Danio rerio: one gene and its partner. The main gene of each other region encodes a partner of the protein of the gene in region 2 in a complex. Links are inferred from orthologs where the notes say so. Each region holds a gene or a part of one and is shown on either strand. Other genes may lie near its edges.

Region 1 (3,238 bases), on a different chromosome or scaffold from region 2:
GACAACACAAAAATCAAGAAAGAGATTGAGTCTTTGGTCTTTTGAGTTAGTTATGGAGTTACAATCAATCAAATAACACAGAAGTACTGGGATAACAGTTTATAGTTTAGAATAAACCACTGATGTTTATGGTAAAAATTAAAATTAACGTCATATACATTTAACTTGACGCTCAAAAATAAAGGTTGTAAGCAGTAATTACATTATTTAACCAATAGGTTGAATTCAACCAGCCATCAAAAATATGCCACTGAATAATAATAAAAAATGATCCATCTAGCAATGAAACATGAAGTTTTATGAGTAAATAACAAGCATTTATTGAAAACGAGACTAAAAATAAATATGGGTTGTACAAATTATAATGTTAGATTTCTACATTTAGTGTCATCAGCAACAGTAGCAGAAATTGTGAATCTTTCCACAGTACTGAATATTTTACCATTTATTTATATTTAGCTAATTATTTCTTCATTTTTTTTTTTTATAAATATAAGGGTTCTTACTTTTGTTTTTTTGAAACCAAATGTTTCTTGCAGTGCAGTTTTTGTAATAAAATGGAAAAGAAATGACATTTGTCTCCTCCCCTTTTTGGCTAGTCCGATCTGTGACTAAAAAAAACATTATATGATCCAAACCGTAAGATTTGTGATCTGTTACATCACTAATTATTAATAAAATGCACAAAACAAAAGCTACATATACTTAACTTTACCATAAGATCTTTAATTTCTCACTTTGGGAAAGTTTCATATGACATGACATACAAAACTACACAAATTCATGACAAACTCCCAAAAACCTTCCCAAATGCGTGTCTATCCACCACTCGTCCCAGTCTGGTAGAAAAGTACATGGTATTAGAAGTGCTGTAGCGCTTTAACCGAAGAATTGATTCTCCCCTGGAGTCTCCTGAATCTCCCAGAGTCACAACATCTGAGACGGGTACATAAATGTCTCTTCTGTGACCCCAAAAGCTAAGATGTGACACCTTTAATATGGTCTGTGTTGAATCCAAATACATCATGCCAACCACTCTTCTGACAAAGTGGCTTATGGAGTACAGCATGACTCCAGCAAACAAGGCAATGCCTATTGAGCGATTTAAGACCAACACTGATGCCTGGCCCTGCAGGTGGAGGTAATACACAGTGGGCAGCAGGACAACAGTGATGCCCGTCTGTAAGAGTTTGAGTCTTGAAAGAGCCCGCAGGCCCCTGATTAGTGGAAATGCATAGATTAGACTGTATTTTCTTGAGGCAAGGTCAGAGGAGAATGAGGCCGGGTGAATCCGCGTGGTGTGTGTGGATGTGTTGGGCATCTGTTTACCCATGTGTGCCAGGCCGTTGTTGATGTTGTATTGCATGCGAGCACTTGAAATAAGTCCTGAAGGATGGCATCGAAAGCCATATTGAGGGAAATGACGGGAAAGGTGGATTAATCTTGTTGACATCATCATCTGAGGAGACAGTAAGCATCACAACAGTAGTTATTATTAATGTTAATTATTAAAACAACACAAAATATTTTGATAATGTAACCATCATGACTATTGACTATTTGACCTTGTTTATTATGTTGATAAAAACAGTGCTTGACAAAGGCAGTTGTTGTGTTGGCTCAGATTATGCGTTCCAGCTTCTTATATGCGATAATCATAGAAAATACATAAGCATAATTAAATAACGCGCATTATTATTAAATATTATTTCAGTTTTGAATGAACTCACCATGTCCATACAAGTTCAGTGCATCGCGCACTTCTTCTGTGAAGCTGGACATGAGTTATATTATGTATCGTTTCAAAATAAAAGTCCTTAAATCAACGCTTGTCAAAATCGTTTTTGAAACAAGTTGTTAAAAATATTTTAGAGACATGGAATCTACGTGCACTTTTTGTGAATTAGAGAAGGAATCGATAAAACACCTGTTTGTTGAATGCACATATACCCAAATATTTTGGTTTGATGTTGAACATTTTATATTTAAACTTACTAAATTAAAAATTCAGTTTTCTTGTAAAAATATTTTTTGATATTCAATAATAACAACTAAACCTTGGAGCAAAATTTGTTTATTAATTTAATGATAATATATGGGAAGTACCATGTACACAAACAAAACTGATCCAATGATAAGCCTAATATTTATTTGTTTAAAACTTATCTTATGCATATTGAAACCCTACAAGACATAACAAATAAAAAAGCTATAAGAATGTGTGCAATTCTGAAATAATTTTTCTTATGCAATTTTTTGTAATTTATATATCCCTTATATATTTATATATACATATATCCCGTAATTTTATTTATTTTTTATTATTATTATTTACTGATTTGTTCCTTTGATGTGAAAAAGTAAGCATTTTATTTCTCATTTTGCATGACATTTTCCTTGTTATTAATTATTCGGTGTCATTAATATTTAATTAAAGTGAAAATAAAAACAATTAATAAGCATTTATATATTATTATTCGACACGTTATTTCTAATTTTGGCAAAAATTTTAGCATTAAAAAACAATTGATTGTTTCAGTACCATAAAAGTGTCGTGGGTAACATCAAGGGTGCGAATTACAGGGGGGTTGGAGGGTGGGGGGATTGACCCCTCATTAACACTTCTTTGTCCCCCCTGAAGGACATTAAAACAAGATGAATAGGGGGGGTCAGCTCTTTAATAGCTCTTTAATTAAATATTGAAAATAAAAAATTTATAACATAATAAATATACCCTTATAATGGTTCATACCATGTGTGAAAATATAATCGCCCCAATCAATACTAAGAAAAAATATCATTCAACAACAGTCTGAAACTGGCACCGATAGACATCTCAAGTTTTCACAAAACACTTCTTGTAAAATAGTTGTATTTTGACCTTCAGCAACTTCTAAAAAATCACTAAATATCAATACACTGAAAGCGTATACATTTTAATAATAAATGAGGTGTAATTTTAGTACATTAATACATTTGATTCACTGAAGAATGTATTACCAAACTACTATCAAAAAAGTTGACCCATTCGTTCGTCAATGTATAATTCGCACGCTGGTAACATCAATGTTTAAAGTAATTTGTTAAAAAAAAATACCGATAAATTAATTTTAAAATCTAAATTTGAGCACAACTACCCTAAGCGATGTGAAGCTGGACTTGATAGAAAGTCTAGCATACTCCAAAATAAAAGTACTTCCGTTGCCATGACTAAAATTCAGTTAAATAAACACATCAA
Region 2 (4,219 bases):
AATTTGCCCTCTCCTGTGGTTTGTAATGTAATAGGCAGCACAAATTTATTGATAGCTCAGGCTGTTGATGTTGCCATCCACTCTGCAGATCTCTCGCATGCCCCCATACTGAATTTAACACCAAACCATGATTTTTCCTTCACCAAACTTGACTAATTTCTCTGAGAATCTGGTGTCTTCCAATAGGTCTCTCAGTATTTGTGATCACTGAGATGCAGATCAACAGATGATTCATCAGAAAAATCTACCTTCTGCCACTTTTTCAAAATGATCAACTAGAAATCAAGTTATTACTTGCTGCTCTTACAACTGAGATCAACAACAAGACTTTTGTCAGGTAATGTATATAAAACTATATGAAGAGACCACTTGGAAATTCTTAGTTTCTCTGGACGTTTTGGGTTTGTTTGTTATGTTTCAGTCAAATGTTAATATGTGTTTCATTTTTATAAAAGTCTGATAAGACTTTTTTCTGCTAATTTTATATGGGAGTATTTTAATGAAATATTGTCATTTAGAGCATTTCTTCTTAAGATAAAAATCAGGAATGTTCCACCAAATATTGATTTCTTGATTTTAAGTAAAAACATTGATGCTGTGTTGTCCAAAAAAATTCTGAAACATGGCATCCTTTTGTTATTTCAAGCAAAATAAATGCTCTAAATAGCAATGTTTTCATTTTAAATGGAATAAATGTCATCACTCGATTTAATCCTGTTTTACTGAAACACATAAGTAGAAATCATCAATACAGAGAATATCAGAATTTACAAGAGGTCACTTATTCTTTTCAGTTCTCTCTGTCTGTGTTTGTGTAGTATATTAATCCCTAAAGTGTAAAAATAATCTAAAAAGTGATTTTTCTTTTTTCAACAGCATATGCCTTTAAAATATTAGGAATGTATGCATTCACTTGTGTCTGAATAAAACTAAATAAAACTGAAGCATTTTTCTTAAATATATTTTAGTGTAAATATCCAGAAATGTCCTGAAATAATGTCCGAAAAGTTAAATTTAAGAGTTTTAAAGACATTTTGGTTAGTAAAAGGTCTTTAGCAAATATCTACAATGGGCTGAAACAGCACGTGCTTTTAACATTTTTATCAGTGTATGCAATTCACTTGTGTCTGAATAACACTAATAAACCTGAAGCAGTTTCTGAACCAGTTTTCAGTGTAAACATCCGAAAATGTCCAGAAATAATGTCCACAAGTTAAACTACGTTCCATTATTAATTAAATATTAGACTTATACAGGACTTTTTTTTTAAATATTCCAGTTAGAAAAGATTTTCACTTTGATTTTCACAAAAAATATAAAAATTTAAGACATTTAATAATACAATAATAAAATATTTTGTTAGAATTTCGCTTTATTAACTTCCAAATATATCTATTTACAAACCCTATAACCCTTATGAAGAATAGAAAAAAACATAGCTGTCAATTATTTCAGTCAACAATAATAATAATAATAATAAAATAAAATATATAGGTCAGGTCAGTATCCACAGCAGTAAATATCGTGTAAGCAAATGTTACTGTAAGGAAAGTAATTAAATGCTATTTTTAAATAAAAGCTTAAAAGTTTTATTGAGATGGATTGTCGTTGACTGTATTGGTGTTAATGGCCAGATTGGGTAGCTACACATGAACAAAGGAAAATTAAGACCTCTTAAAAAAACAACACAATATTTCAGTAGATTTAAGACTTTTTAAGACCCTACGGGTACCCTGATAAATATCCAGAAATAAAAAACTAATTAGATTCTTGCATAAATTCTTGCATTTGACTCCATTTTGCTGTTTAGTGTTACTGTTTTAAATAAACAACAACAGGCCGATGGTAAAGCCTGAACATCCTCGAAATTATTTTCTTCACCCGCTTAATAATATTTGTTTATTTCTTAGTTATTCAGATTTGTGGATGTGTGTATATACCATAATGACCTTGGAAAACTACAGTCATAGGACTCAGAAATGTGTTTAAAAGACGTAATAATAACGTCTCTGACACAAATTAGCGATGGCCATTATAGCTATAGGGCTCAGATTTGTTTAATAATAAATAACGTCAAAGACGATCATAGATACAAAAAAAGCTATTACTAAAGTGTTAATATTGTTAAATCGGCTATCATCTTAACTGTTCCTGACAAAAAATTTGCCTTCCTATAAGTAATTATAATACATAAAATATCTGGCTGTTATATTTAAACGATACAAATATTCCAAACATAACTTGGAAATGCATCCATAGCTTCACCATGGTAGTTCTGGTAAAGCTGGTTACACACACATATATATATATATATATATATATATATATATATATATATATATATATATATATATATATATATACACATACAGTATAACCAGCTTTACCAGAAATACTTATATATTTTAAACCATGCAAACATACGTTGAAAATGCATTTGGCATTTGATTCAATATCCATAGCTTCACCATGGTATTTCTGGTAAAGCTGGTTATATACTGTATATATTTAATGAATTCGCCACAAACCCATGGTTACTACCGTATTAATATTCATGTAATACTGTGGTATTTTTTTTTTGCTAGTGAAAGGTGTTTAGCAGATATACGATGGTCTTAAACATTATTTTTATTTTAAATGGATGCCCCTGAATTTCAACAGAATTGAGCCTTGAAATTCAACAGATTAATGCATGCTTTAATGGCTTTTGACTAAGATAAAATTACTCACCCGCACATGGATTATTATTGTTTTTATAAAGACGCTACGAGCGGCGCATTATGGACGCGGCCATTTTCCTCTTTGAAAAACTTTATTCAAACGTCAATGAATCAAATCTTTAGAAAAAAAGAGCACCACACGTGCGAAATCCCCAAGCGATTTATCATATTGTAAATGATACAGTACAATCTTCTGTAATGTTACCAACTATTAATTTAGCAAGATCGCATGTTTATTTGGGATCTGCATTTTTGACAACAGAAACACGTGCGACGCGTGACGTCAGACGCACGCGCGGTTACGAAAAAAGAGTTATGAAAGTAGTTTCCTGAGTCACAGTTGATGAATGTCATTATCGTTCTCATTTCGCTGACGTTGCGTAAGAAAACCACATCAAAGGCTGTGAGGGGACATTCACAGGTGAGCACAGTATTACATGTTTGCATGTTGAAGAGTGAGCGCGTTATTGGTTGTGTAATTTGCGCGTGCTTTAGTAAGCGCTGAGCGCGATGCAGATGCGCGTCTTCAATGTGTCGTCTTTGGTGATTTCACGAACACGGTCATTTATTTCCATGGACAACAGTCATACACGGGCAACACGGTGGCTCAGTGCTTTGCACTGTCGCCTCACACCAAGAAGGTAGCTGGTTCGACTGCATAATGGATAAACAAATATTTCTGTGTGGAGTTTGCATGTTCTCCCCGTGTTGGCGTGGGTTTCCCCCACAGTCCAAACACATGCGTGTAACTGTTATTGCTGAATTGAATAAGTTAAATTGGCCGTAGTGTATTTGTTTGAATGATTCTATGGGTGTTTCTCAGTACTGGGTTGCAGCTAGAAGACCATCTGCTGTGTAAAACATGCTGCATAAGTTAGCGGTTCATTCCGCTGTGGCGACTCCTGATGAATAAAGGGACTAAACCGAAGGAAAATGTATGAAACAGTCATGCATTGGCAGTATTGCAGTATTTAATAACTAAAATTTTAATAACCTGTTGTTCTATGTGCTGCTAGTTGCAAAACAAGCTAATATAGTTGAAAAGTATTTGTTTATCCATTATATATTTATTTATTTTGAGAAGTTTGTCACGTTTTTTGTTTTTAACGGAATGCCTTTAATAATAAATCAATCAATAAATAAATATACAATCAGAGGGCAAATTACTTAAAATTAAATAATGTGCTGCTATTTACAAAACATTACAAATATTTGTGTATTTATATTGTATTTACGTATTTGGAGTAGTTTGTGATGTTCTATTTTCAGCAGGATGCAGGTGTAAAAATCGATCTATTTAAACACACACACACACACACACACACACACACACACACACACACACACACACACACACAATAAATATATAAACAAATTGTTAAATGCATAATTAAATTATTATTATTTTTAAATGTATAAATAAATATTTATTGCCTCACAGCAAGAAGGTCAGTGGTTCAAGTGCCAGCTGGGCCAGTTGGCATTTCTGTGTGGAGTTT

The links. Proteins that work in one complex are often made in the same cells at the same time.
Region 1: coa1 (region 2) and tmem186 share a complex: the UniProt entries of both Homo sapiens proteins name them as parts of the mitochondrial complex. The link is inferred for Danio rerio from reciprocal best matches to the Homo sapiens genes COA1 and TMEM186.

Annotation. Positions count from the first base shown.
Region 1 is NC_133197.1:27,568,014-27,571,251, reverse strand, and holds tmem186 (transmembrane protein 186), read right to left. Parts: upstream 1,763-3,238; 5' UTR 1,740-1,762; coding exon 1,731-1,739; intron 1,642-1,730; exon of another isoform or gene 1,566-1,641; intron 1,460-1,565; coding exon 782-1,459; 3' UTR 577-781; downstream 1-576. UniProt on the Homo sapiens protein: As part of the MCIA complex, required for efficient assembly of the mitochondrial complex I.
Region 2 is NC_133177.1:53,227,562-53,231,780, reverse strand, and holds the start of coa1 (cytochrome c oxidase assembly factor 1 homolog), read right to left. Parts: upstream 2,805-4,219; 5' UTR 2,731-2,804; intron 1-2,730. UniProt on the Homo sapiens protein: Component of the MITRAC (mitochondrial translation regulation assembly intermediate of cytochrome c oxidase complex) complex, that regulates cytochrome c oxidase assembly.